4 separate regions of the Mus musculus genome follow, and all the other regions are reported to be linked to region 1. Evidence: microRNA targets listed by miRTarBase, many of them from high-throughput screens and not tested one by one. Region 1 holds a microRNA gene; each other region holds the end of a gene's coding sequence.

What was found. The annotated mature microRNA mmu-miR-592-5p reads AUUGUGUCAAUAUGCGAUGAUGU and lies in region 1 at 5,006-5,028, shown strand. An mRNA with a match to its seed (bases 2 to 7 or 8) in the 3' UTR can be bound and repressed. Matches are read on the target gene's strand: a 7mer-m8 pairs with bases 2 to 8, a 7mer-A1 pairs with bases 2 to 7 and ends in A, and an 8mer does both.
Region 2: the mRNA of Gria3 is a reported target of mmu-miR-592-5p. Seed matches in the 3' UTR shown: 7mer-A1 at 3,095-3,101, 7mer-A1 at 1,744-1,750 and 7mer-A1 at 1,606-1,612.
Region 3: the mRNA of Zfp385c is a reported target of mmu-miR-592-5p. Seed matches in the 3' UTR shown: 7mer-m8 at 3,146-3,152.
Region 4: the mRNA of Mlec is a reported target of mmu-miR-592-5p. Seed matches in the 3' UTR shown: 7mer-A1 at 7,010-7,016.

The regions. Positions count from the first base shown.
Region 1 is chr6:27,934,051-27,941,738 of GRCm38, reverse strand. Mir592 (microRNA 592) reads left to right here and starts at 4,989; the gene lies at 4,989-5,084. All of the region lies in intron 2 of Grm8 (glutamate receptor, metabotropic 8), which reads left to right.
Region 2 is chrX:41,672,128-41,679,815 of GRCm38, reverse strand. It overlaps Gria3 (glutamate receptor, ionotropic, AMPA3 (alpha 3)), which reads right to left. Exons shown (of 16, transcript NM_016886.5): 15 at 7,350-7,597; 16 at 1,215-3,476. The coding sequence ends at 7,352. Among named protein-coding and RNA genes, the nearest start is that of Thoc2, 240 kb to the left of the region's middle.
Region 3 is chr11:100,623,481-100,631,168 of GRCm38, reverse strand. It overlaps Zfp385c (zinc finger protein 385C), which reads left to right. Exons shown (of 9, transcript NM_001373887.1): 6 at 370-681; 7 at 1,082-1,278; 8 at 1,521-1,631; 9 at 2,101-3,626. The coding sequence ends at 2,337. Nkiras2 (NFKB inhibitor interacting Ras-like protein 2) reads right to left here. Exons shown (of 4, transcript NM_028024.2): 2 at 6,870-6,977; 3 at 5,985-6,226; 4 at 3,567-5,175. The coding sequence starts at 6,963. The coding sequence ends at 4,936. Among named protein-coding and RNA genes, the nearest start is that of Nkiras2, 4.4 kb to the right of the region's middle.
Region 4 is chr5:115,140,751-115,148,438 of GRCm38, forward strand. It overlaps Mlec (malectin), which reads right to left. Exons shown (of 5, transcript NM_175403.3): 5 at 2,231-7,394. The coding sequence ends at 7,165. Among named protein-coding and RNA genes, the nearest start is that of Unc119b, 9.6 kb to the left of the region's middle.

The DNA.
Region 1 (7,688 bases):
TGTGAAGTGTCGTGGTGACTCTGTTGTAGTTGGCACCTTCAATCATTTCCCAGTCTTTCCACGATACTACTTTTCTCATAACATTTCTACTATAAACAGTAAAGGCTCACTATTGTATGTTTCTTCCATTCCAGCCATGTTAGGTGTAGTCATTTGGCTACATATATTCCCTTATATTTGCTGGGGTTCTATGATCCTACTGACCTGGGCTTCACCTGTTTTGCCACCAACCTATTCTTATTTGTATCTCTTTTGGTCTAAACTCCCAGGGTAGAGCATTTTCTTATAAGGAGTTTGAAAAGCTCAGAGTCAAGGCAGGTGAGATTCTGCTTCAGAACTTGAAGCTTATTAACTCCAACTTCAATTTGGGGTCCTATAGTTTATTGGAGCCTCACTGTTGTATTGTATAAAAAGCAGGTGCCTCTGGTATGGAAACAAAGTAGACCAGTTCTTTGTGATGGGACGAAGCATGGTCCTCAGCTTCTGTCTCTGCAAGACTGAGTTGGAGGGGGTGAGAAAAAGGAAGTTGGGATAGCATTAACACAGTCGTTAATGCCATAAGAGAAATATAGTATCTATCTCGGGTATTCTGAAGATGCAGCACATTTTGTGTGCTTGTGGATTTTAATAGAGGATGAGGAATGTTGAAGAAGGTGGAATTACAACTAAAATTACATTAAAGAGCCCTGCGAGCTGGAGATTAATCAAACTGGTAACAATTTGTGCCCTTCTATCTATAAATATAAAAAGATAAGTTCAGCTAATTTTGATGTATTTAATATGTTAATATGTATTTCAAGAAATGATGAGCTAACAAATTAATTTAAGCAACAAAATTTTGCAGGTTGTATTGATTAATAATTGTACCCAGCTTAGGAGACATGCCCATAATTCCAGTTCCTGAGAGGCAGAGTCAGGAAGATAGGGAGTTCAAGTCCAGCCTGAGATATATAGTAAGACACTTTCTCTCCACAAAACAACTACAATTTACTTCAACATCATTGGGAGTGACTCAACTGAATGAGATTATATATATATATATATATATATATATATATATATATATATATATATATATATATATATATCCAAATATAATTTTGGTAGCTTTCAGAGCTGTCATTCTTTTCTTTCTTTAAATTTAGTAATTTAAATGCAACTATTCCACATAGTTAAAATTAACTAATCTCTGTGTGCTCTCTTGTTTTGTTTTATGGCAACTCTAAAATATACTTCTGAGGCAGAAGAAAAACATCTTGGGTAGCTTTCATAGGGTTGGAAGATGCTCTGTACACTAAACGTAATCAACAGTCTTACCCTGCTGTGAACCCTGCCAATTGTAACCACAACAGGCCTGGCACAACATAACTACTGATGGAATGGTGACAAGCATATCATGGGAGTAAGAAACCACTGTCTGATTGGATTTAGGGCCCTCTTCAGAAGAAAGAACTCATGTCTGGTACTGTTAACTGGGTCTAAAACCAGTGGCTGGATATGTCATAGGCTCTTGGGGAGTAAAACCAAAAAAAATTATTCTACTAAATGAATGTGATAATAAAGTTTCCATGTTTTTCCATGTTTTCATTAAAAATGCAACTCTCCACCCTCATCAGAGACACTTCTTTTGGCAGTAGATGACAATTAGTACAGCTATCTCTGACTAGTTACTGTGCAGAAAATAAGAGACTGGAGTGCTCAGCTTTGCATTGGACTTTTATATTCCAGCTCTTCACCTATGGTATGGAGATCATCTCAGAAGAGGCAGCAGGAAGACTGTAAAAGCCAGAGTGGGTATCTTTAGTGAAGCAGTATTTTCCAGACATGACAGGACCACTGTACAACAAACTCGCCGTGGCTAAGACTGCATGAAGAGGAACTTCACAAGATCAAGCCAGAGCAAATCCCAGTATAGACAGGAGGTGGGCTCATGAAGTCAAACTACTAGCTCGGGGGCTTTTAGAATTGGATGGCTACTTGGCGAGGGAGGAGTCTGTTCAGGAAGATGTCTCCTGATAGGCTCCCCATGCTCCAATAACAATGGTACTGCCATGCGCATACAGGCAGCACACAGTTTAGTAGGTTTACAAAGAGGCCAGGTTAAATTTTTTTTTTTCCATTTTTTATTAGGTTTTTAGCTCATTTACATTTCCAATGCTATACCAAAAGTACCCCATACCCACCCACCCCCACTCCCCTACCCACCCACTCCCCCTTTTTGGCCCTGGTGTTCCCCTGTACTGGGGCATATAAAGTTTGCGTGTCCAATGGAGGCCAGGTTAAATTGAGAGGGAAAATGGGTAGTGGGGAGAGGGGAGGAATTGGAGGGGAAGTCATGGAGCACTGGAGCAAAGCCCATTATACACATGCAAAAAAAAAAAAAAAGCTCAATTAATTAAAAAAAAGAGTAAGTGGGGTATTTGTTATACCTGTCTTAGGTATGTGTAGAGTTCATAGGAAGATAAATGTATATATGAATGTTTCCAGCCTCAATTCCTAATTTCACTCTATCACTAGTATATAATCACACGGTTAAACAAATGGGTCCCTAAGTGTGAAAGCACGTGGAGCTCTAGAATCATAAAGCAGGCAAGTGTATTTGCAATCATTCTGCTGCAAATATTATTTGCTCTCAAAGATACAAATTCAGTTTGAAAATTTTGCAACACGTATCTGTTGCATAAACTGACTTTTGGAGATGGAGAACACTAATATAGAGCTGAATAAATCTGCAGAACTTGGAAACTCTGCTGTTGCTATTCTTGCTCCAGTTTTGGACTTGGAATTTTTTTTTTTAAAGATATGGTTCTTAAGGAAAAAATATTCAGAATGTATCTAACTTCTGCATTGCTTTGACTTTTCATCTTCTGCAGATCATTGTCTACAAAGATGGTCTCCCACTTACAATGATTTGACTTTCAGTGTCTTCCCTGGCTTGCCATAGGTATGACGCTGTCCTATGTTGATAACACTTTCAAGCTAAGCGGTAGCCCCGTATAAGTTGAAGAACATCTGTATTCTATGTTCTAAAATATATCACTTAGTCAAGTAAACTTTCCTGTATGTATGTAATTATTGTTCTTATTTTGTATATTATATATGAGAAAGATTTAGTGTTGGAGATTTATCACCAATCCTTGCTTATTGATGTCTTTGTAGCTTACTGTAGTCTCTCTCTATATGTTTATATATATATATATATATATATATATATATATATATATATATATATGAGTTATTTGAGAATTTTGTATTGTCTTTTTTGCTGCCTTTATAAAGTTGATATGTTAATGAATATATATTTTTTCCACACATTAAAAAATTAATGTTATTTTAATTAAATAGTTAATTCAAAATAGTTTTATTCCAAAAGGGCAAGTATACCTGGCTTAGAAAGGAATTTTTGAACATTACTTGAAAACTTCTCTTGAAACATGATGCACCTCTCAAGAAAATGAAGGCAAATCTTTGGAAGTTGAAATTGTTTTCATTGCCTCCTGGTTTCTAGTTTTGAAACATCTCTTGGGAATTATGATAACAGTTGAAAATATCTACCAGTGATTTTTCATGTTGGACCAAATCTGTCAGAACTTGTAACACTGATCTTTGATTGGGTAGAGGTGGTCTGCTGATTTATTTAAACATAAATACTTACCAATGATCTTTTTTAAAAGGCAGAATATCTTCAAGGGTTTTAAAAAAAATTCATCTTTATATGCTTACCAGAAAAGAACTTGCCAATATATTTGTGGCTACTAAATTGCTTTCAGGAAAACAGAGAGGTTTTGGATTTTATTGTGTATTTGGTTATAAATAGGGAAAAGGTATGTTTACTTTTGCAGATAGAATACTTTGCTAAAAAATAACTGTGCTAAGTGATAGAGTAGTTTAAGAATCATCAGGAGACTGTAATTATGATGAAGGATTATGAATGTGTGAGTAAGTATTCCTTAACTGCACTGGTTTCAACAGGATTTTTTTTTTTTTTTGAGAAAATGTCTACAAACAAATTTAATCTAATATGTTGGGATCTCCCTTATGCCCATTTTTTGGTTTACATTTGAATTTAGGTTTTCTTCTCCTTCTCATGTTAATTTTCAAGAAAGAACGAGACAAAAGATGCTGTCTCTTTGCAGGATCATCTCGACGCCTCTGTCCTCCTCCTTTCCCTTGCTATCTTCAAATCTGCTCACCTGTCTCCTTTACTGCCGCACGAGCTTTGAAGAGAACTCTGCACCCTCAGCTTGGCCAGAGCCTTTGAACTAGAATAGAGCTGGCGTCTGGCAACTGGATTTGTGAAGGAAAGGTCACTCACTGACACTTTGCATAAGCTAGCCCTTTGTTTAACCGGGAACTCGTATCTTTGGAATAATTCAAAAGTAATGCCTGATAACTTTGGGTGTAACTGCCTCATCCAGACACTTAGGGTGTGAGTGGGTGTGAACTTGGAGAGGCTGCCTTCCACCAGACTGTGGAGAGGATTTCTGTTGCAGGTTCCCTTCCCTCTCCAACCTAACATGCAAAGCTAGTTGAAGCCATTGGCTACACGTACTTTTTCTGACCGTCTCAGTCTTGAGGAAAGAGGATTGGAAGAGCGTGGATAAGAAGGACAGGAAATGAAGAGTCAACAAATTAATTTTTTTTTTCACACCATTCCAGTGCTGTTGTTTTAAGCCTTGGGGTGGAGGAAAGAAGGGTCAGCATTTGTAAATGTTTGTCTTTAAAATTGAGTTTAAGTGTTATTAGTTATGGAGCAAAGCACGTAACAACCCTCGAACACTATCCCCATGACAACCGACCCTTGAACTCCTCCTTGTCACTTTAAAACGGTTCTAATTGGAGACCAAGGAAGTTCTAGGAGGCCAGGAAATTATTTCTCCAGTGGCTGTTTTCTTCTGTCAACCAAGACTCTTCTCAAAAGCAAAGAAAAACTGGAAATTGTTCCTGCCTGGGGCCAGGGTGTGGGAGTGCTGATGTAATTAATTCCATGATATTATGCCATGACATTGTGTCAATATGCGATGATGTGTTGTGATGGCACAGCGTCATCACGTGGTGACGCAACATCATGACGTAAGACATCACATCGCCAATTAAAGAGGTAATCCCACGAGGTTTTAAAACTGAGCAGCTAATGTTTATTTAAGTCTGGGCTCAAGATCTGGGGTAGTATGGAATCTCTACTGGAAGATACAGGTCGGAAAAAATGTTTCTCTGTGTTTGTAAATCACTCCCAAAAAATTACAACCTCTATTTTTACAAGGCAGGTTTAGATATCAAAATATAATTCATTTACTAGACTGCTACTATCACAGGAGGTCACTGTATTATTTTCCGTGGGATATAGGTTGTTGCTAAATTTATACATAACTTCATAATGAGATTTAGAAAATATAATCTATTCTTAATTTACATATTTGTTAAAATTATTTAGTGCCTTATAGAGCTCCATGTAAAATGATTTATAATTGAAATTACTTTGTAACTAATAATTTTATATGCACATATTTCATAATAATAGTAATGATAATAATCTTGCACTAAGAGTCTAATAATATGAAAATGTTAAAATGGAGAAATGATTTGTGCATATAGTTTCGCTCTGTGTGTATGTGTTGTGATTCTGGTTCTATTTTGTATCTTGGTTTTACTATTCTGAAAATGAGGATAATGCATTTCCCCTTGACTTCCATAGGGATATTGCATGTGCAAATTATTGGAGGTAAATTGTATGTAAATGTTATTTGCTCTTTAGAACAAATGTTATGTAAATTTAGGGTAATATTCAGTATTTTCTCTAGAGCTACATAGGCTCTATTTAGGAACTTGACATCAAACGGAGAAAATGTAGTTAAATTAGAGCTGGAGTGGCTTTCGTATTTGATATTTCATTTTTATTTTATTTTTCCTGACTGTTTCAGCTCTAGATTCATTTTCAGAAACAAAGCAGATGCAAAAGTGAAGACAGGGATATGCCTGAGCTTCTATTTGTGTTCTTTCTAGGCTTGGTGATTCTCTGTCCTGTAAAGGAAGAAAGGTGTGCATGTGTAAGTGTGTAAGTGACGAGAGGAACGTTGCAACTCATGCTAGGGAGAGCAGAGTTGAGCAAAGCGTCGGCGTTCCCTCATTCAGCAGTACAGGTGGTGTTGGCAGTTTGTATTCTGGAGAATAAGGGACAAGTGTCCTTTGCTACTCCTGGTTTTCCACGGTGAGATGAAGAGATTGCTCTGTTGTTTTAAAATTGACATATGCTTCATCATCCCTTCTTTGGCTCCAGTAAAAATGTATCAGAATTTCATTGCCTTCTGAAAGTGATACATGACTTTTTGATGGAGTTTGAAATGCTGGCTGATTACTTTTGAATGCTGAAGCTCCACTGGTTCCTGGCAGCTCACATCTGCAGCAGAGAAAAACAATTAGCAAATTTGTGAATTTGCTTTGGTTTATAGATTAGACAAGTGAAGTAATTCTTTATCACTCTAGCCAATGGGCTAGTCTTGATTACAGGATATTGTACCCCATTAATAAATATAACTATATTTAGATGCTATCAGACGTTTGTCTGTCTGTATCTTAGTGACCACTTGTCTGTATCCTGGAACCACCGACGTCATGTTCAGTGTCCAGAGCTCAAAATCATTGTAGTTTTAAAAGGCATAGAGGAGTGTTAGACTGAGTACACACAGCTTCTAGACACATAGCCCAGACAGCTGCACAGGTTGCGCACCCTGCCCCTCACCAAGCTCTACTGATGATTACACATCTGGAAGCCTTAATTCTGTGTGCTGACTCAGAGTTTCTAGAATTTAAGACTAGCTCCCATGTGCTCTGGCTTACCTATAAGGTAAGTTTCAGCTGATTTATAATACATTTGTCTCTCTCTAGTTGATAATTGCTTTTTTTTCCTTGCAAAGAATAATCTATGGTCATTTCCTGCTTATCCATATTCAAGAAAACCCAAGGAGCAAAATCTAAAAATATTCCTTAAATTCGTTGAATTAATGAGACTTGATTTAATGTTTGGGGATGCTAGGTTCAAACGAAAGCTCTTAAAAACACTTTATCATCTTCAAGTTCATGGAGTATTTAAAATAAGTGGTACTAAAAAGATCTTATGACTGTTAGTCTTCCCTGAACTGCTGAGAGATTTAGGAGATTGGCAATATTTGTTCATACAGAAATCATAATCCAATTATTTTTAATGATGTGGTTTTTTTGCCTGGAAATATAAGGGTAAATTTTTCTCTAGGAATCTTGGTTATACTAAAAGTTTACTTTGTAAACATTTCTTTTTCCTGAGAGAAAATTGTCTTCAATCTCATTTCCCTCTGAATTATTAAAAAAAATTAAATGGTGAAATCCAATTAATTAGAATTTGACATTCATTCTACATTGAGAAGAATCAAATCATGTGTTTGTCCCATATTTGCATAGCAAATGGATAGCAGATTAAACTTCAAACCATTGGTTGCTGAGTGTTACTAATATACATAAGCCTTTTTCCTTTGGACTGGCAAAAGAACTCAACACTCATTTAAGCAAAGTCCCACTGATCCCTTCCTGATTGCCTCGTATAACACCCCAGCAATAGTTTAGATCATGTCTGGACCCCACATGGAGAAACTCATTTCCTATGCTTTGGGCGTATACCTCTATCTTGTGCCATTATATACCTTTATCTTGTGCCA
Region 2 (7,688 bases), not on the chromosome of region 1:
TGGGACTGTTACATGTGTTTTAACTAAGGAAAAGAAAAAGAAAGCAGTTGAGGGTTTGTTATTGGGCACTGCGGAGGTGGTTCAAGTTGTTCGGAGCACTTGCTGCTTTTTCAGAGGACCCAGATTCAGTTGCCAACACCTACCTGGTGGATCACAATTGTTTATAAACCAGTTCTAGAGGGGAATCCAATGCTTCTTCTGGTCTCTGAGGCATCAGGCATGTGCATGCTGAGAATATGCAGGCGAAAAACCCATTCATATGCATAAAATACAAATAAATAAATCTTTTAAAAAAGCATTAGTCATATAACAGGTAATCAGCAATTCAGAGAAAAAGGAAAGCAGTAGTAATTATTCTGGAACCTATAGGCCAAGTTGTCCACAGTCTGATTAGACCAGCCTTTTTTGAAAGTCTTCTTTTCCCATTTCTATTTTTCTTCCTTTGCAAGAATTTGTATTACTGGTTCCCTAATTGTCTCTACCTTTATCTCCTTAGCATCTTTCTTGAATTGCTCCCTCTTAAAAAAAATACCCCTCTTTTCCTTCTACCAGCAGCCCCTGTTTTCTAGGGTGACAACCGGATAGACCTGCTCTGTCTTTAACTGGCTTCATTTGTTACATGAAGTTGTAGTCCATGTTCAGAAACTACAAAGCAGGCTGGGCGTGGTGGCGCACGCCTTTAATCCTAGCACTTGGGAGGCAGAGGCAGGCAGATTTCTGAGTTTGAGGCCAGCCTGGTCTACAAAGTGAGTTCCAGGACAGCCAGGGCTATACAGAGAAACTCTGTCTTGAACCCCCCCACCCCCCCCCAAAACCCCAGAAACTACAAACCAGGCTTGACCAGTATAGTCCACTGCATTTTTTCTTTACCCACCAATACTAAATTGGTGACTCTTGATTATTCAATTATATCCAATTCAATTCAAAGGGTTTCCAGTGGGGGAGGGGGAAGAATCCTAAAGGATGCTAGCTGGGGCAAAGAAGGCAAGTCAAACTAATGGAAAATGTGGGAGGATGGCTCAGTGTAGCTGAAGGGCCCTGAGTCTGAGCCCTGACTGATTTGCAGTTGGGATGGGGAGAAACCCAATCCTCATAGTGAGGAGGCTGTTAGAGCACTGGCTGGGCTTCAGATGAGAAGTTAATTAGTGAATAATGACTTCTTGGCATCTGCATCAAGTATACAGCAAGCAGCTAGTCAAAGTGCAGAGACAGAATGCTTTCTTTACAATTTTATTTACAAAATGTATTAAAACTTTGTACATACCTCATGGCAATGAGGTTCGGTAATTATGCCCACACATGCAATTTACACTTTTACGGCCATTAGTTTGCTTGGCAATTTTTCTGTTCACTGAAGTACAGCTTTAACAACAAAAAGAAAAGAAATGGAAAAAAATCCTCAATTGACTACCGCCAAACTCCCATAGCTTGAAGTTAATAGCAGAAATTTGAAGCAATCAACATTTTTTTAAACATGCAAGTTTTTTTTTTTTTAAATAACAAACCAATTTACCCGCTTCTTCATCTCAGTAAAGTTTCCTCTCTGAAAAACTGATTTGAGTCAATAAACATACATTTCTCTTTATACAGTGCCTATGAAAAATGTTTGTGTATAGGTCAGTTGGTTTGTTTTATACAAGTTGATATTCACACAGAGTTAGCTTCCCGCACTGGGACATTATAGCATTCATAAGTTGAAAAATCACAGTTTCATGAAAACAAAACAAAACACAACAGCTTTCTTTTGTGTTCAATACCATTTAAAATCTGACAGGTGAGTTATTTGCTTATGACACACTTTCTGGAATGAAAGTTTATATTACACCTTTCTAGAAATGTTTCATTGGAACGAGACCTCTTCCTTTCTTTTCTAAAGACGAGAGCAAATATGCGCGAGTCAACTAAGCATCTAAGGGTCACACTTGGGAAATGAAGGTGGGCTCCTAATTTGTACAGTCTGGAAACTTTCCAATGCACGTTACTGATGAGAGCATACTACTGAACTACAGAAAGCATACATTGTTATATAGGAGGTAATTAGTGAGCGGAGACTATTTCCTCTGACTGGTCTGATGACGTCAACAGCAGGTTTGCAATTAGTTACTTGAGAGCCCATGGAGCAGTGGGGCGATCTTCAGTTCAGTAGAGAAACTGCTCCAAGCAAGGACCTGGGAGTGATGCTTAGGTCCCTCAGGTTAGCAATAGGTTTAGGAATGCGTCTTAGTCTTTGCAAACTAGAAAAGGACACATGCAGTCTGACGGAGAGCCACAGGCAGGCGGTAACAGGCAACAGCTGGTTAAACAGACCTAGCAAGAGTAAAGTCAGATTGAGAACTGTGGTCTGAACCCACTGGCCTGCCTTGCAACACGGTTCTGTCTCCGTGTTGTACACTTAGGCATACTTAGCAGAGAAAGCAGAGCTAAACACAGTGTTGTTTCTGAGAAAGATATTCCAAACACGTCTGGGAGAATAGGCAGCACTTCCCTCACCTCAGTGCTTACTATTCAACTACTCAGCTATATTGACTTAAAATGCACACGGAATTAAGAAAAACAGATCTATCTGTGGGCTGTAATTCCAGGCTTCTTGGAAAGCTCCGGGATCCGTTTTAGGAAAGCACCGAGAGGTAAGCCTGACAGTGCCCTGCCCCATGCTACACACAGATGTCAATTTCAAAGGCTCTATTAATCCCTTCACCTCCACTATGGGGAGTTCTCCAAACATTTTTTTTTTTGTCACAAAACCATTGCAAGAACACTAAGTCACCATTCAGTCTCTTTCCCAAAGCATTTGAATTTTCTTAAGTGTCACATTTACATTCTAAAGATTTACACAATTCAGCAACATCAAAAGGAAATAGGGTGCACAGAACATCACCACCAACAGGAAATACCAAAAACATCTGATCAGCAGATCCTAGAAGAAATGCCAGTCTGTCTGCCCGAACACTGGGAGACAGATTTCTTTTATTTTAAATCAGGAGGAATTATTTCTTTTAGCTAAGATGGGTCTATTTTGCTGAATTAGAATAAATTTGTATGTGTGAATGTGTATACATAAGTGAGTGTGTGTGTGTGTGTGTGTGTGTGTGTGTTTGTGTGTGTGTTAACGAACATGGTTTCGTATACTGTGCAGTGGTATCAAAGAATGGCTTTTGTTGAATTAATGTTTTTAATAAGAATTTTTTTCGCATACTGGAATCTTGCATGTCCATTTTTTGTTGGTTTTATTTTAATTTTTTTTCAAGCAAAGCAAAAAGATTTCAATGATGGTTTGCATTGTCGCAAGTCTCAGAGTGTTCCATAAGGCACTGAAGGAAAAAAAAAATCAGTTTTTCCTATTGAAAGGTCATTGCACCATCAGCAATATTCGTGTCATGCCCGACACCAAGGAGAGTGAAATCTGGCTCAGGATCCTTGAAGCAGCCACGTTTTCAGTGATTTCCTCTCATTGCATGCTTCCGGTGGGAAGGGATCTGCAAAAGGCAAGGGGACATTGTAGTATGAATGGACTTTTATTGGGAACCAAGACATTTATTAATGGCTCTGTTGACACTGGACAAAAAAAGTGACTGTTTTCTTAAATTGCCATTACTGGGGCCATCTTCCACCCCCAGTTTGGTAGGAAATAGGTCTGGTTAAAATTTTCAACTGGGTGCAGGTACTTTGGAATAGATTAATTAGGGTGGTTTTCTAGCATATGCATGGATTTTACTAACATGCAGGAAGTCTAACTCAAGACTTTAATCACTCAAGGTGTAGGTATGTTAGAAAGCTTTAGTGGCATTTTAATATAGTCAGGACAAATGCACTGCAACGTATATTCTGATTGCAGATGTGACAGGGATTGTTTACCTAGGACAGAGGGTACACAATGGTCTGGCTTACTGAATTCAAATCCATTTTGAACATGAGGACAAAGATTATTATTTGTTCCTTGACTGGGGACTGCTCATTTCTCTTAATACCTTCAACCTCAGTGTTTAAAGTCTGAAAGTAACACAGGGAGTTTAAAGGGATAGCACATTCTAGAAAACAGGCAAAAGCAGTGATACCCATGAAACAGCTTGGCATCTATAGGTGCTTTGCCTTGAAATTAGGGGCCCGATTGAGAGGGTGCTGATAATGCCCTCGTTTTCATGGCCTCGACTAGATGCAGGGGATTCTTTGCTCCTGAGTCTGTCTCCTGTTGGCTCACATCCTTTCTCAGCCACCTTTCCCTGTACACTAACAGAACATTCATGTTTTCTCTTGAGTGAACCCTGAAGCTAGGTTGAATGAATGACATCATTATCTACCTCTGGTCCTAGAATTAACATATGTATGAGAATGCAAAGAGCCAAAAGATTAACATGAAAGTAGGAAAAGCTCTTCTTTGGTACTCCCCCAGATCCAGAGTCTCTCTCTCTCTCTCTCTCTCTCTCTCTCTCTCTCTCTCTCTCTCTCTCTCTCTCTCTCCCTTGCCCTCTCCCTCTCTCCCTCTCCCCCCCTCTCTCCTTCTCTTCCTCTTCTCTTTCCCTCCCCTCCCCTCCCACCTCTCTTCTTCTCTGTCTCTTTCTCTCCTTCCCTCCATCCTTCCATCCTTTCCTTCCTTGCTTTCTTTCTTTCTTCTTGCCAATGGGATAGCCTTATCTGGCCCCATAACTCTAAGAAAGTGACTTGACTTCTCAGTGACTGTTTCCTGCTCTTAAATGGTAGGAAGGGAAACAGCACTGGTACTCAGATAAAAGCTCTCTGAGGAAAAAGAACTTCACCCTCTCAGTTATTCAAAAAAATTTTCTTCACTTGACATAAAATTAGTTTTTGTTTCTTCTTCAAGATCCCTTAAGCTGGAAAAAACTCTCCAGCAGGAATGTCTATGCAAGTTGGACCTGATGGCTCACATCTATGATCTCACTATTCAAGCTGAGACAGGGGGATTTCTGTGGGTTTTAGCTCATTCTAGGTTATTAGGTAAGCTCCTGTCTCAACCTTTCACCCACTCAAAGAATACCTACATATACGCTATTTAAGGAATCTTGATACCTTGGAAAATAACAGTATTTCATAGGATGGAATAGTATAGACCTAGAGGAAAAATGGAACTTTCTCGAAATTACAGGCTTGTTGTGTCCTTGCATATGAGATGGATTTCAAAAACATTCCTGAAGAAGCCAAAGAAGCTAACTGTAGTTTTCAATACACACACACACACACACACACACACACACACACACACACATATATGTACATATATACATATGTGTGTGTGTGTGTGTGTGTGTGTGTGTGTGTGTGTGTGTGTGTCTGTATGGAGTATATGGAGTGCAGTGCATAAGAAGTACGGCATGGAGGGTCTACAAACTTTTTCAAGATGGTTTTTAATAATATATGTTAATTATTTTTGTACATGTTTTGTCTGCGTGAATATAAGTGCACCACATATATGCAGTGCTCATGGAGGCAGAAGAGGGCATTGACTCCCCTGCAACTGGAGTTACAGTTGGTTGTGAGCTGCCATGTGGGTGCTGGGAACTGAACACTGGTCCTCTGCAAGAGCAACAAGTGCTCTAAACTATTGAGTCATCCGATGGCCTGCATGGACAGCTGTGTAATAAACTAATCATCTCTTGTCAAATTGACAAAATCTAACTAAGGGTTCAAATTTCCTGAAGACTATCAGGCTATAGATGGAGAAGTCAGGAAGAGGTAAGTCTGGTTTAGTAAAGAGGAAGAAAGGCTTCACTTTACACTTGAATCTGCCACTACCTAGTTGAATAGCTTTAGACAAGCCACTTGTTGTATCTGAGTTTTAGGTACCAGAGGGGAAATACTGCCTGATCGATTTTTATTACAACCCAGGGAATAGATGTGACAGAACATGGAAAACTGCTATATATTCTTAAGGCGTACTAAATAGTTGGACTTCAACTCCTTGGGGTTTGCAGTAATTATGCTAGATTGAAATTGTTCCTGTACTGTCCTACAAAAAAAAAAAAAAAAAAAAAAAAAAAAGCAAATGATATGCCCCCAACTGAATTATATCATCAACTCAAAGCACTAGCACATGAGAACATTAACTGATTACATGCTAATAGTGCTAATGACAGATGAACTTATGGGTTGAACATTCACTAGTGGGAACAATTTGTTAACAGGTTAGTTCATTGTACGGAGTGTGTAGTAGCTGAAGGCTGCAGTCTACAGGACAACAGGACAACGAGCAACTTCTTCAAGTAAGATCATGTTTTCCATGGTAATAACAAATGATTTGTTTGGATAAAATGTTTAAAAATTAACTAAATTTAGATTTATTAGGTTATATATAAGAAGGTCAACATATAGAAATTGGAATATATTGACATTTACTGGTAGGGTTAAAGTTAGCCAGCTAAAATAAGGTATAGGAAGTTGCTAATTGTTATGTTCTACTTTTGATAGGCACATCAGTAAGGCAAATGTACTTGGAAGGTGGTAAGACTTTATCCTTTTATATACTTGTAGAATGGAAGCATTATTTGAATCCATGCTTGCCTTTAAATTTAGATGCATTATTGGTAGTCAGGTTTTCCTAAGTATTAATTTTGATTTGGTCACCAGCAAGTAACCTAGACCCTTACTTACCTGAGCACCATCAGTTCCAAGGAAGGGATAACAAAGGGACTCAAAATTAAGAAATTTGTTTCATGCTTCCACTGCTTAATTAAAACAACCACTACTTCTTCATGGAAGGACTTCCCTACATGAGGTGGCAGGACCTTGCTTCTTTTTCCTAGTTTAAACCTCAGTTCCAGAATATCTGATTTCTCTAGAATTATACTGTCTAACATGGCAGCCATGGGCACATGTGACTACTAAATATTTGGCATGTTGCTAGTATCACTTGGGTATTCCCTAAGTATAGAAGCACCCCAAATTTCAAAGATTAGTATAAATAAAAGAACATAAAACATCTCATTCATTTTCAATATTATTGTGTAAGTGACAAATCGAAATATTTTGGGTATCTTGACTTCAATGAAATGCATGATTAAGATTAACTGCATTTCTTTTATTTTTAACTCTGTAACTAACAGTTAAATGTTATTCATGTGGGTCACACGTGTCACTCACATATATTTGCATTGAATAATACTGCTTAAGAATGTATTTTTTCCTTTCATGTCACAGACCATAACTTAATTCCAGTTATGCTTTTAGAAAAGCACCAACCACTGACACGAGAACACAATCATTGTTTAAAGATAACTAACTAGTAGCAAAGAGGCAATGCTAGAATCCAACCAAAGTAAGAAACAGGAAAGAATAACAACAAAAAGGTTAACACACACAAACGTAAGGCTGATTAGTTTACTAGACCTTAACCGTACCCCTAGATCTTAACACTTTCTGTTCCATACACGTTGTAGCCTTCTCTGTATGTAGCGTAATTCTGAGTGTTGGTGGCAGGAGCAGGCTTAAAGTTTTGGGTGTTCTTTGTGAGTTTCATGCGTTTGGACTCTGCCCGTGATTTGTAACAGAATTCTATCAAAGCCACCATCATGGCCAGCCCCAGACCTCCGACAAGTATATAGAACACGCCTGCCACATTGCTCAGGCTTAGAGCACTGGTCTTGTCCTAAGAAAAATGAACAAGGCGATTAGTTCTTGAGGAAAACAAAGGCAAGAGGACATCATAACACATCACAACAGCATAGGGCAATTCTAAG
Region 3 (7,688 bases), not on the chromosome of region 1:
CAATTCTGTCCGATTTTATGATTTTTTTTTTTTTTGGTTTGGTTTTTTGAGACAGGATTTCTCTGTATAGCCCTGGCTATCCTGGAACTCACTTTGTAGGCCAGGCTGGCCTCGAACTCAGAAATCTGCCTGCCTCTGCCTCCCCAATGCTGGGATTAAAGGCGTGCACCACCACACCAGGCCGATTTTATGATTTTTTATACAGGGAAACTGAGGCTCAAGTTTGCCTAGTGAGTTGGTGGCAGGGTGAACCCAGAATTGAGTGCTAGCTGTCCTTTACCAGGAAGCCTTCCAGCCTCCCATTCTATCACCATGTCAGTGTTGCGCCTCAGAGGTCCAAATCTCCCCATATGTCCCATGTCCTTGCAGGTCCTGCATCCCCTCCTCTTGGCCCTTCACTTCAGCTCCCGCCGACCCCGGACCCATCAGCCGGAGACCCCGTCCACTCAGCCGGAGACCCCGTCCACTCCGAACTTTGTGATGCTGCTGCTTCGTCTTCCTCCTCTTCCTGCCCACCCTGCTCCCCGGATCCCAGCAGGGAAGCACCAGGGCCTGAGCCAGCAGAAGGGGCCGTGGGAAGTGGAGTGAATGGGGAGGGCAGGGGCGAGAAGGGACGCCTCTACTGCCCTACCTGTAAAGTGACAGTGAACTCCGCCTCTCAGCTTCAGGCTCACAACACAGGTCAGTGCTTCCCGGGTGCCATGTCATTCATGGCCAGGTGACAGAGGAACCTACCCACTGTTACTACAAAGACATTTCTGGGTCCTTCTCTTCGTCCCAAGGGAGGGGCATTGGGAGGAGAAGTCTGCAGCAACCAGAACTGAAGGTCACTAAGGGCCTGGAGTACCCTCCTCCATACTCCTTGGATCAAAAGGAAGGGACTTTTTCCCAGCTGTCTATTTTAAAAGGCCATCTTCCCTAAGGGATGTCCACAGAAAGCCATAGACAGCCAGAGATGCTGGGAAGACAGAAGTCTGTGTGCCTGGCGGGGGCCATGTGTGTGCGGAGGGGTAGCCAAGCTAACCTAGTTTGATGCTATGGCCTCCCTTCCGTACTGAGAGACCGTTTTCTTTCCTTCCAGGAGCTAAGCACAGATGGATGGTGGAAGGTCATCAAGGGGCTCCCCGAAGGGGCCGGGGCCGTCCTGTGTCCCGAGGAGGGACTGGACACAAGACCAAGAGAGTGATAGGAAATCGTGGGGGCCGGCAGGGACCCAGCCCTCCTTTCCATTGTGCCCTCTGTCAGCTCCATGTCAATTCAGAGACCCAGCTCAAGCAGGTAGGAGAAGGGAGACCAGGATAGGATGGGTATCAGAGCAAGGGAGGAGGCATTGATGCCCACTGAGGGATGGATGTGGCTAGGCTGTCCAGGACTGTCCCACGCCTGAGAGCCCCTTGTGTGTGTGTTGAACGTACGAACTATGGATAAGAGGAAGTCTGAGATAGTCTGACAATAGAATAGTTTGGGTTCTGTGGGCTTCCTCATCTCATTCTCTGTCTGTCTGTCTGTCTGTCTGTCAGCACATGAGCAGCCGGAGGCACAAAGACCGGCTGGCTGGGAAGCCCCCCAAGTCCTCCAGCCAGCATAACAAGCTGCAGAAGCACACAGCACTGGCTGTGAGTGTTCTCAAGGTACCTGTCTCTAGGAGGACCATGGTCTATATGGGAGAGAGGAGGAGGCAGGGCCAGCTGAAAGGCTTGGGGTGTGGCAAGAGGGAGGCTGCTGGTCCTGCAGCTGCCTGAGCAGGGACAGGGTTAGGGGGTGGAGGTGGGCCATACCCAGAGGAATTTCCTGCGGGTGGGCTGGGCCTAAGGTCATAATATGAAGGGCAAAAGCCAGGGGTGGGTGTGCTTATCCTAGAGACCATCTCTTCCTACCCCTCACAGTGCGGCCCGTCCCGAGGCTGTCCATCTGCTGGGCAGGAAGACAGCTGGCACAGCAAGGCCCCCTGGCATGACTGTTTGGGGGCGGGAGGGAGGAGGTTAGACTTAGAACTCTAAAAGGCACGTCCCCGAGGCAAAAAGGCTCCTGGATGTGTCCCAGGGAGGGGGCGGGCTTCTCTGGTATCAGAGACCCTCTCCATTTCTGTTTTTATTGTAGTCTAAATTGGCCTTGCAGAAGCAACTCACCAAGACGCTGGCAGCCCGCTTCCTGCCTGGTCCGCTGCCCACCACAGCTGCTGCCATCTGTGCCCTGCCAGGGCCCCTGACCCTCCGGCCTGCTGCAACAGCAGCTGCTACCCTCTTCCCAGCTCCTGTCCTGGGCCCAGCTCTGTTTCGTTCTCCAGCAGGAGCTGTCCGCCCTGCTGCAGGACCCATCCTTTTTGCTCCCTATTAGTGGACTCAGAATGGCCACATCCTATCTCTTCCAGTCAGACACTTGTCTCCACATCCCACAGAGACTGCCTTTTGCAGTTTCCGGGTTCCCACCCAACCTGGGTAGCTGCCCTTCACTCAGACTGGGGTTCTCCAGTCCCCTGGCTCTGAGGACCACCACTACCCTCCTTTCCTGGGCCAGCCCTAGGCTGCCCTGCATCTATGATTTAACAAATCCCAAAGATCTATGCAAAAACCACAGCCCCAGTCTCATGGTGCTCTCATACCCAGACCCCAACTAGAGACGTACACAGAGCTGACAGCATTTTAGCTCCCAAGGGCCAGCCTCTCCTGCCATGTTCTAGAGCGGTCTGGACAATCACTAGAGACAGGGATCTCAAACTGAAGTGGGCTGGAACCTATCAGGCATATTTACCATGGGGTAGCCAGGTATGGTGGTGCATTCCTGCAATCCTAGGGCCTGGATTACGAGTTCAAAGTCAGTTTGAGCCATATAGCTAGACACTGTCTCAAACACCAAAACAACCACAAGTAGACTACAGGGTATGTATGGCAAAGGGCCATAGAGATAAGAGGCCCCAAAGTTCTTAAAAAATGTACTGTGAAAGTGAGGCAGAGTTGAGATGACGCGCCATCTGCTCGTGGGGGTGGGGCTTGAAGGGAAAAGTGGTGTTCAGGCTGGGCCTGACTGTGTCATCCTGGCTGGTCTGGGACTGTATGCTCAGGCTGGCAAACTCAAAAAATCTACCTGCCTCTGCCTCTTAAGTAACGGAACTAAAGGCACACACCACCCTGCCTGGTCTGGCTTTGACACAATAGCCCTGGCTGTCCTGGAACTCACTTTGTAGACCAGGCTGGCCTCGAACTCAGAAATCTGCCTGCCTCTGCCTCCCGAGTGCTGGGACTAAAGGCGTGCACCACCACACCCGGCACTACAGCTCTTCTTATCTTAGCCTTTCAGTGGTTTCTCTTGAACCCCAACTCTAAAGGGGCTCTGGGTCTCCCTCAGCCTAGGGACTCTCCATTCCACACTGGGTCTGGCCATCCCAAGTGTGGCGTTTCGGGCTGGTACATGGTCCAGTAAACCCTCAAGATCAACTTTCATGTCACCAAAGCCAGTGCCATTCCCCCATTCGACATGGGATTTCACCAGGATCCACCTATATCCCCCTTTTTTTGAAAGATATTTCCAATGGGACAAGAAAAGGGGTAGGGGACGGGAAACTTTTTGATAATAGCAGTTGTGGTTTTATTGTGTCCAACACATCAATAAATGAACTTCAAGCCTGAGCCTGTAGGTGCCCAGACTCTCCTTGCCCAGGCCTGGGCACCAGCCCCCCCTCGCCTGTTCTAGGAGGAGGAGAGGGTATTGGAGGTGGCCTGGCCATAGTGTTTAACCCGTGTGAGGTGTGCACATCAGAAGCACGGAGTGGGCACCGCAGGTTGTGGGTGATAAGCTCACTTGATAGCACAAGCCTCTGATGGAAGGCTTGTCAGCTCCTGGGAAGCTGCTACTGGGCTGCCTGGTTCTCTTCAGGCATCTGAGGTAAGAAAGAAGGGCTGGGGGCGCGGCTTATCCCACCTTCACCAGAGCAGCAGGTGCATAAATACAGAGAGAGTATAAATATAAAGTCCAGCTACTAGCCAAAACCAACCAGGAGGGATGGACACTACCCTGTTGGGCAGGTTAATAGACAGCCGCTCGCTCGCAGCACTGAGCAGAGTGCACCCCTGCCCCCTGGTGGTTAAGAGAGGCCGTCCAGCCTCCAGGGCCGGTAGGTGTAGCACCTTAAAGAGGGTGGAGCAGGGGCAGAAGACACACAGGAGGCCCAAGCCACCAGCTTTAGAAAAGTCACAGCGCTACCCGTGGCTCTAGGTGACATCCAAGCTTCTGTCAACTCACATACGAGAAGACTGACGCTCAGGGGAGAAGAGTCTTGCTAAGTCTCAGGGCATGTGACAGCCCAGTCATCACTCCACTCTACCTCAGCCAATAAGACCTCTGCTCCTGGAACAGGAAGAGGAAGTGAAACAACTGGGAGATGGGTAGAGGTCAAACAGGAAATGCCACTCCCAGGAGCCTGACTTTACCAGGCCTTGAACAGGCCAGAGGAAAGGTCAGGGTGGAGGATGAGGAACCAACCCTAAGCCAGCTCGCACAAATGTATGCTTACAGTACCTAGTCTTTTGTTTTAAGGCTGGTACTGTGTGTATGTTAGTGGCAGGAAATTCAGAGTTGGGATCCCTGATAGGAGGCAGATCCTGGACTGGGCGCGTTGGCATGACGGCCCTGCTTCCTGCACCAGGCAGATGGAAGGGACACTAACCCATAAGTGTCTAGGTGACAGTGGAGAAAATATGGTCAGCTGGGGGAGGGGTGGGAACTATTATGGAAGGTCAAGGGAGGGCCAACAATCAAGTTCACTTGCACTTCTTGGAGTTAAGAGAGGACAAAGGTGGCACTGGCCTGGGCCAGCCCAGCTTCCTGTCCTAGAGGGTCACTCCCCTACCGACTGGGAAGAACAGCTTGCTTATGCACCCTGTGCTCGCCACCCATCCCGGAATGGGCTTGGAATGGTGAAGCAAGAAGGGCAGCTATTCAGCCATCCAAGGAGCCGCTGCCCTTGTTCTTGCGGCTGAGGGGGAAGGCAGACTTGCTCTGCGGCTGGGTCATCTTGCTGGCCAGGTAGATGAAAGGCTCTAGGAGGGAGCGTCGGTCAGCCACCGACACCTCCCATAGCTTCACCTTCTCGGACTTGGCCCAGTGCTGGGCCACGTCAGGGTCTACGCGACGCTGCTCCTGCAGGTCACACTTGTTGCCAAGGACCACGATGGTGACCTGGAGAGGACAGATGAGAACAGGGACTGTCGGCATGCAGTGGCTCAGGACCAGGTGTAGCCATCAGCTGTTTCTGGCCAACAGCTGGGGAGGATGCAGTTCCCAGAGGACTTCTGGAGGACTAGCAAGAACACAGAGCCCCAGAGAAGGAAAACTAGACCGCGCTTCATGTGCTAGGAGGGAACCTAGTAAACCAAGAAGAAGACTCAGCGATTGAGCTCTCCTATCATGTGGCCCACTACCTCTTGTGTGGGTTGAAGACCCTCTCCAATGATCTTCCCGGCCTTCTAGCTCCTAAACTACCTCTTGGCAAATGCGCACAACTGGGAATCATGCCAGCACCCTGTCTCAGTCAGGGTTTCTATTCCTGCACAAAACATCATGACCAAGAAGCAAGTTGGGGAGGAAAGGGTTGATTCAGCTTGCATTTTCCACATTGCTGTTCATCATCAAAGGAAGTCAGGACTGAAACTCAAGCAGGGCAGGAAGCAGGAGCTGATGCAGAGGCCATGGAGGGATGTTCTTTACTGGCTTGCTTCTCAGCTTGCTTTCTTATAGAACCCAAGACTACTAGCCCAGGGATGGCACCACCCACAAGGGGCCCTCCACTCTTGATCACTAATTGAGAAAATGCCCCACAGCAGGATCTTATGGAGGCATTTCCTCACCTTAAGTGCCTTTCTCTGTGCTAACTCCAGCTGTGTCAAGTTGACACACAAAACCAGCCAGTATACACCCGAAAGCATACCGAGGACCCACGCTCATGCTCTCCTACCACTGGGCTCCCAGCAGAAGTCTAGGACATGTACCTCCTTCTTGTCCTTGGACTTGTCGATCTCCTTCTTGAGCAGCTCGACGCGCTGGAACGACTCTCGGCTGTCTGTGCTGTAGACCAGGACGTAGCCATCGGTGCAGGAGAAGCAGTGCTTGGGCAGCTCGGCCCCATCCCGGAGACCCCGTGTATCATAGAAACGCACCTGCTCCCGCACCCCTCGGTCTGTCTCGATGGAGCCTACATAGATGTCCTCCTGGGTCTCGATCATCTCAGAACCTGGGTTAAAATGAGTCAAGAGAGATGGGAGATGGGAGCAAGGTAGATAGCCTAACAAGCCGACCAGACACAGGGCATAAGGAATATGGGGGCTCGGGAGAGACCAGACTTGAGAGTGAGACCGAGTGTCATGTCTTTATCACACCAAGCAAAAGGGCAACACAGAACTGGGTGTGGAGACACACACCTTGAATTGAAGCTCTTGGAGGAGGGGAGGCAGGGGCAGAGACAGGTTGATCTGTGAGAGTTCCTGGCCAACCTGGGCCGTACAGTGAGGCCCTCTCAAAGACGATAACAACAAGGCGGGCAGTAATAGAAGCAGACACCCTACATCCACCTCTGGCCAAGTGCTGTGGGGTGGGAATGGGCTTCTTCCTATCTTGGCTTTGGGTTTCTTCCTTCTAGATTTGTACAATGTCATAGAACTTGGGTGGTACAATGTTTTATTTTCCCCCTCCATTGTGGGGTTCAAACCCAAGGACTAGTACATGTTAGACCAGGGCTCTGACAGTCAGCCCTGCCTCCAGCCCTAATTGGGAGGGTGTGAAAGCAGCTGGTGTCCTTTTTAGCTTTTGGATTCAGGATGTGACCAGATCCTTCACTCAAGGTCTTCTGCCAGTCTCCCGGGCCCAGCAACACTCACCCACGACATGGTTCCCGTACAGAAGCTGCTCAAGGATTGAAGTTTTGCCCACAGATGCCTGGCCGCACACGACCACCTTGCAGCTCTTCCCCATGCTTAGCTTTCAACCTAAAAGGACAGAAGCCGTGTGGTGAGGGAAGACAGAATCCAAACAGCAGGCCAGGGAGCATCAGGGAGTTAGCACCACCCTGATGTTTACCGAACTACTGAGCAGTGAGCTGTAATTAACCTCCTTATCCCATGAGTGGCCAGGATTTGGCACACAGCCAGGGTGGGGTTAATGGCACCACAAAGGGAGGGGCTTAGAGAGTGGGGTGACAAAAACAGCTGGCCGGGTTTGTTCCTGTGCACAAGATAGGGCACCAAATACTGAAGGAAGTTCCACAAATACTCCTGTTCTTTTTGTTTGATTTTGGGGGGAGGGGGTTGTTTTGAGACAGGGTCTCATGTACCCCAAGCTGGCTCCCAGCTGATGAAATAGTTGAGGCATATGCACACCAGGCTGTTTTCTCCTTTTAACCATGACTTCCGTGAAGAAAGAAGCAGGGATTTTAGATTCTTCTTGACATCTTTTCCTCAGGGAGAGTGTGCAAATATGGAGAAAAACTTTCTTTCTTTCTTTCGGGGGGGGGGGGGCGGGGTTTCTCTGTATAGCCCTGGCTGTCCTGGAACTCACTTTGTAGACCAGGCTGGCCTCGAACTCAGAAATCTGACTGTCTCTGCCTCCTAAGTACTGGGATTAAAGGCGTGCAACCACCACTGCCCGGCATAACTTGCTTTCTTGAATGACTAATTTGGATGGCAATAAATTCCATTTAA
Region 4 (7,688 bases), not on the chromosome of region 1:
GGTCTGAGCCAAAGAGGAAGGGGGTTTGCTTTTTACTAGTCTAGGTGCCTAAGAACAAAGAAAACTAAGACTCTTGGGATTACCAACTCCAGAGCCTCCATGCTCCGCCCCTTTTGCCTTGACCCCCTCACCTTTGCTCCAAGCAGTTTCCAGTAAATGTGAGAATATCACCTCTCCCCCTCTATGGAGGATGGGGTGGGGAATAGGGGGTGGTGTTAAGTATGGAAGAAGATCTGGCACGCAGGCTCCAGCCAACCGGGAGCCTGATTTCCTAAGTAAGATTAATATCTAGACCTACAGAGTGGTCCAACCCAACAGCTGTGCTTGGCCCATCCTCTTCTGTCAGACAATTTCCCTCCCTGTAAGTCCCTAGAGCGGTGCCTTTTCAGGTCCCATCCCCATTTGGCCGGTCCCACTGCTCTGCTAAATAATAGTAACACCTACCTCTAAATTAGTAAAGAATTTTACCTTGGAGAGGGCTCAGCCAGAGTCTCTATGGGCCCTGAGAGCAGACTCCATCAACACTGGGCTTTAGTCTTTTTTTTTTTTTTTTTGGTTTTTCAAGTAGGCTTTATTCTTAAGAGTTAAGTGCTCGCCGGGCAGGGCACTTGGGAGGCAGAAACAGGCAGATTTCTGGGTTCGAGGCCAGCCTGGTCTACAAAGTGAGTTCCGGGACAGCCAGGGCTATACAGAGAAACCCTTTCACCAAAAAGAAAAAGGAAAAGGAAAAAAAAAAAAAAAAGAGTTAAATGCTCAATTCTGCCATTGATAGTGTAACCCAGCAGGCAGGGCAAACATCCATCACACAAAGCCAGAAACTTCCACTGCTGTAACAGTGGGTATGTTCTGGGGACATGGCACAACATTATGGTGGCCATAACTTTTAATCCCAGCATTTAGGAGGTGGAGACAGGCAGAGAGCACCAGGGGTTGGAGACCAGCCTGTTCTACATAAGTGAGTTCCAGGCCAACCAGGTGACTCAGTGAGACCCTGATACTAAAGTAGATGAATAAACCAAGAATCCAGTTTGTTGAGGTTTTTTCTTGCTATGTGGCCATAGGAAAACATGGTGACATCTGTAAAGTGCTTGGCTTTGTGACCAGCCCATTTCAAAGGTTCACTTGAGGATAGCTAGAGTTAGTCTAGCTGGAGGAAGTGTTTGGATACCAATGGCAGAAAAGACCGGCTTTAAGTCATGGCTTGACTATTTACTAACCAGCCCGAGGCAAATAACTGATATCTTGAGCTTCTTGTACCACAGCTTTAAAACAGGGTTGATACATTTTAAGGAGGGGGGAAAAATTCCTTCTTGCATTCTGGACTCCCACCTGCCACGGAAGGGGAAGGCAAGAGAAATATTATTATTATTATTATTATTTGGTTTTTCGAGACAGGGTTTCTGTATAGCCCCGGCTGTCCTGGAATTCACTTTGTAGACCAGGCTGGCCTCGAACTCAGAAATCTGCCTGCCTCTGCCTCCCAAGTGCTGGGATTAAAGGCATGCGCCACCACGCCCGGCAAGAGAAATATTCTATGGCTTCGCTTGCAGGTCGCCTCTCAGTAGAGGGTACAGGACACAAAGACATAGCTGGAGGCCTGGTGTGCCTCTGAACAGAGTCAAGGCTGGGCATTCCAATCAGATCCAAATAACACAGACTTGATTATTCCTGGAGTGCTGGCTGAAGTGGTCAGGCCAAGACTGGGGAGGAAGTGTGTACCCGTTTGTGACTGGACATCAGGTGACAACCATTCCTGTGGGAACGCTGGTTCTCTCCTTCCCCTTAGCTTGGTAGCAAGGACCTTTACTCGCTGAGCCATCTTGCCAGCCCCAAGAGAGACAAGAATGTCATGTCATTAGTCCTCCATGGCCTCTCTTCCCTCCCCTTCTCCTACATTGGTGTCTACTATTATTGTGGGGTGGGGAGGGGACACATTTACTTATCTGTTGGGGAGGGGAGGTACCACAGCATGTGTTAGCGCTTTCTCTCTTTCTCTCTCCACACTCTGGGGGTCAACCTCAGGCTTTGATCAGTTTTGGTAGCAGCTGAGCGACCTCCCTGGTCTTTCTTAGTGGTGGGGGTTGGGAGTCCAGACTGACAGTTTAACTGAGTACTTAATTGGATGTGGTCTTCAATTCCTGATCCTCCCAACCGTTGGAATGACAAGTGAGTGCCACTGCAGCCAGCTCACCATCTCTCTCTCTGAGTTCAATTCACTCTCAACACGGAGTATCACTGCAAATTGTTTATTAAAACACAAAGCAATGGACAGTGAAAAACATCCTGATTTTTTACTTTTTGGTGGGAGTGGGGTGGGGCATGAAAGGGGTATAGATGGATGGAGACAGCCCAGAAGGAACAACAGCTCTACCTACTCCTGCTGCTGCCCTGGCCAGCCAGGTTCAAGGTCCCTCCTACACCTTGCCACACTGCTGTAAATGCACGGTGTGGCCTTGCAGGGAAAGATGGGAAAGCTAAGAGCTACAGAGGCTAAGAACTTGATGCCTGTCCTCCAGGACTGGATCCCACAAGCAGCCAAGTTCAATACTGAGGGACAGGGCTGGTTTCCTCACAAGCCAGGCTGGGCCAACAGTGGTTGAAGAGGCTGCCCTGAGCTTAGACTGGACAGCCATTCTATCCCGGGGGAACTTTGTGAAAAAGCAGTGTTCCTCAGCGCCGACAAAGAAACTAATCCAGGGTCAAATTTCTTTTCATTCCCTGGATCATGGCACACCAGGAAAGAGAAGAGCCAAGAATGTCTCTTTTCCTAGTTTTGCCACGACATCTCTCCTTGCCAAGTCTCCCCTCCCACCTGGCACCTCAACTGTTTCCTGACAGTTGTCCTCTGAAAGGACGGAAAGCACACTTCGGTTTGTTGTTGTTTTTCCTCATACTGAAATAAAGCACTAAGCTCAAAATAGAGGTGAGGATGGAGTTCTGCTTCTCCCGATGCTATGTGCTCCCATCACACATGACTGCCTGGATGCGAGCATGCCAAGGCCTCCTCTGCCAACTTCCGCAGGCACTACTGTCTCCCTGGCTGCCAGCACAATCCTGGCCCCTTGCTTTTACACTCCGAGAGAAGCCCATCCCAAGAGATGCACTCTGTTCTTTTCCTGCCAATCCGATCAGTCCCCAGATCTGCTCTTATCAAGACAATCTGGCCACCTAGGACAACGACGCAAAAGCAGCCCGAGAAAGACAGAGTGGATCGGCAGCAGCCATCTGCATCCAGAGTAAGCGGCCTCCCTGGGCAACTGACCATCAGTGCCATGTCAATCGTCTATCCTTGCCCCTCTCCCGTGTCAGGGAAGCCCAACACAGATAGTTTTAGATAAACCTGGAAGATAAAGCTGCCCTGAGCTCTCTGGTGTAAGCAGTAAGGCTTCTTCGCAATTTTCTTAGCACTCTTTGATCCATAATTACATCTTCCCTATAAGAGAGGCCACGCTCTTCTGCAATCTCTGAGCAGATCCTGCGTGTCTGCGGTTTGTCGGTGTAGCCTCCATCAGTCTTACCTGAAGAGTCACCTTCTTCAGAGGCCACAGCAGGAGGCCTAAAGTCACCTCCCTAGTTCTGCCTTTTTAACAGCAGGAGCATCAGTTAGTCTCTTGTTTGAGAATGCTCACATGCTCTGCTAGGTCTTTATAGAGTCACGGAGAAGAGTCACATGTGGTGGCCACAATGCCATTAAGGTTCCTCAAGGCAAGAAGACACTTGTATTATGTCAGAGTAGGCCAGCAAGGAGGGGGGTGGATAGGGAAACAGCCCACAGTGGACCATCAGACCCCTGCCCAGACCTGGATCTAGAGGGGACGCCCACCTGACTCAGAGCAGGAGAAAAAAAGGCACTGTGCTGCCGGGGTGGGTTGGTCCCCAGTTCCCAGGGAGGAGAGAGAACCTGCTGACTCCCCGCTGACTCCTCCCTGGACTCGAAAGCTGAGCAGTCTCTAAGAGAGAGGGCCCTGTGCGCGAAGAGAAGGGAGTACTGTGGCTGTTTCTCAGCTCCTTAGCTAAGACTCTAGATCAGGGCCAGGCCCTTCCCAGGAAAGGCAGGAATGAGACAAGAAGGAGAAATTCCTTAAAACAGAAGCTTCTCAACAAAATGAAAGTCAAACCAGAGTTGTAACCTGCTCCCAGGCACACAGTGCGGCTCAGCTCTGCCCACTCACCGAGGTGAGGCGTGTGGGACCCTGGGATCTCCCACTCAGCAGGAGAAAAGGTCACACACTTCATCAACAGGCAGCGCCTCTCACACGATGGGCATCTGAAGGCTGCCTTTCAAAGGGCCAGATCTGTGGGTGTCCAGTGAGCAAGCCCTCCTCAGGACTGCAGACTTTCCAAACAATAGATTTAATGGTTTCGGGACATGAATCCCACAAATCGTTTCTTGGCACAATGTTTAAGAGAGTTTGAATACGACCTAAAGCAATGCAGTCAGAGGCCAGCTGGCCCCTGACTGACCTAAACCACACTGGACCTGCAGACTCAACCCAGCTGTCCTTGCTTGCTCCTCTGCTCTGCTCTTGTACCTTTCTCTCTAGTGGCTGGATCAGTGTGCTCTAACATCCTGGGTCAGAGTATAGCTCAAACAGAAAACCCGGGCCTCTCCTGGCCCACTCCCTGACTTGCACCACCCACAGCTCCCAATCCCAGGCAACTCCTTGTTCTAGCTCAAAACACAGCGGGGAACAAACAGTGCAAAAAGCAACACGAACAATGGAGTGATTCTTGACATACACAATACAAAAATAAAAATAAAGCGTGCCCCACCCAGCCCCTTTAACCCAAACCTCAAGTACCTACATCATCTTAGAGGGAGGGGAAAGCTTTCAAGTTCAACGTCAAACAGCTCATTAGCTGGGCAGGCTTGGCTTAGGGAATCCATCCCAGCCTCCGCCACACTCCTTCCCTTCTGCTTCCTCTTCCCTTTTAGTTTTTATTAGCTACAGAAAGATGTTCCTTCCGCTCAGATACAACTAGAGAGGAAAGCACCCGTCCCTATCCCTCCGGGAAGGGGTGGGCTTGGAAACAGAGGCAGAAGCCGAGCCACTTGGCTTACAGTACCATTAGGAAATGGCCCAGGAGTCAGGGTTTCCTTCTGAGAAGGACTCTGAGTCACCAAAGGGGTGAGCTGGGTGAGAAAGCAGGACCCCTCCTTCCTCAGAGACCCAGGCAGACAAGGTGACACGGAGGCAGCTACTCTCCCTCACCTTGTTTAATGTGCTGACAGTGGCCCATAGCTTTGTAAATAGGGATGGACCGGGAACCAGAAGCCAGATTAGTCAGGACATCTGTTGCCCTAGGCAGGCAGTTCCCGAGACCAGGGTAGTAAGTACCTCAGCGTCCTGTAGAAGCAGGACCTTTGCAAGTGCAACTTCAGGCCACAGCCATGCAGCTGCCACCTCAGTACCCTAGGGCTAGCCTAAGTCACAGAGAACACAGAAGACAGTTCTCAAATGACCAAGTGCTGGCCTGGAGTCACCATTAGGAGCCAGTCAAGACATGGCCCCAGAGCTACTTACTTGTCGCACAGCTCAGATATCTGATAAGGCAAACTTAAAATTCAAACACATTCAGAAATAAGGGCCTGGCCTGAGACTCACACGGCTCCAACTCAAGCTGAAGCAAAGCCTGCTGCTTCTGACATAGAAAATCCCTTTTATTGCAGCTGGGCTGTCCCTCACTGTGTCTTAACTGACACACAGATGAAGGTGACCAAAAGGAAGATGGGGGACATGGAAACTTCATCCCCTACAGAGGTGTTTACTGGGAATCTGAGACAGACACTTTGATGCTAAAGTTAGACATTCAGAGCCTCCAGAACTACAGCTGACTAGGAGTCTTTGAGTCCCACGTATTTGGATGGAACTTAACTGCTACTTGGATAGGGGAGGGGAGGGCAGTAGAGCCTACTATTATCATCAATGAGAAACACAGCTGGGCTGCTGCAGCCAGTCTCAGTTCTTTGGGGTGACTCTAGGCATAAGCCTAAACTAGCTGAAAGAGGACAGAAGACACAGGGACAGATGGACATCAGATTCTGGACATTCTAAACAGTGGTCAGTCACTTAGCAGGGCTCAAGTCTCTGAGGTTGCTAACATAAGCCTTTTCTAATCCAAAGACCAGAAGAGACTTTTAAGGTCAAGTGTTCTGTTGCTGCAGGCTGGAAAGCATCCCTGTCCCTGGCAGCAAGACCCTATGGAGGGGCCAGTAAGAGTTGCTGGCTCAGGAATTCAGGGAGGGAGGTACCAACAAGGTGAGGTGGTGGAGGGTCAGACACCCCAGCAGAGACCACTCCAATCTCCTGTCTCCTGCCCAGTTTTGACAATAACTTAGCTCTATGGTTAAGAAGTGAGAAATTTCAAATGAACCAGATTAAGAGAAAAATCAAGAAGAAATCAAGTCCTCAACAGGCACTAAAATCAAAACAATTTGTTGTAGTAACAAGCTGTTGGTGATTTGAGGACCTGACATACACTAGTCGTCTTGGATACCAGACAGTCCTCTAACTGGCACACATCAGGATGAGAGATGACAATGAAGATACATCAACAGATTAACCCAGACGACAGGCTTCCCAGGAAGGAAGCGCTGACTTTCTCTTCCACGCCTTTGTCTTTACCGTCCCACTTATCTACCTCCACACACACACTTGGAATACCATGACTGCTGAAATCACATCTGGACAGAAACTCAGAACACACCCAACTCCAGTGCGGTCTTTCCAGGTTATGTGACATTTTCCTGCTGTTTGTTAATGTCTAACCTAAAAAAACCAAGGAAGTGTGACTGCTCTGAGTTCAGAGTCCTTCCTACTAGGTATATAATGAGGATCCTCGGAGAGGAAGGATCCTCTCCCTAAGTACCCCAGAGAAAGAGAGCTGGGGTGGGGCCAGCTAGGCAGAGCAGGACTGAGCACTCTGCAACCTGTGTTGGTGGGGTGACCCCACTCTCTCTGCTTTTCTTATCTCTTTCCGTGTGTGTGTGAGCACATGTGTGTCTGTGTTTGTGTGTGTGTGTGTGTGTGTGTGTGTGTGTGTGTGTGTGTGCGCTGTTTGATTTGTTTTCTCTTTTCCTAAACACTGTGAAGATTACAGAAACCAAAGTGTCTGGTTTCTCGCACACTCCCTCCACCCTGCTGAGGATGGCCATTTGTCCTCTCACAAGCGGCAGAGGCAGAAGAGGGTTGGAATGAACACTCCGAAGGCCACCAGGATAGGGAACATGAGGCTGCTGTTGTCCGAGGCATAGGGGTTAGGCGTGCGGGGGCCTGACTGCACCCTGTTCTTGTTGGTCTGTCTTTTGAGATTAGACCCCTCATCATATTCCTCCTCCTCCTCCTCCTCTTCTTTCTTTTCCAATCCTGGATGAGGCTGCAGCTTTGGTACATCTAATAGAAAAAAAGAAAAACCCTTTAAGTACACTAAGACCCAGAGCATTTACATGAGAACATTCAGAGCCGTAAATGGGCCACACTAGAGAGACCTCTGTCATCTAACCAGGTCCACAGGGAGGGGTAGAAATGATCTCTAACCTAAACAGCAGGACACAGGAACAGTAGTCAGATTCAGGTTTTACCTAAAAAGCAATACAGGGCCTTCCCCAAAGGAAGGTTCTCTCTCCTTCCTGACTCACTTCTTCAAAGCTCCCAGAGGCCCACAATAGGCAGGGACAGTGATCTGAC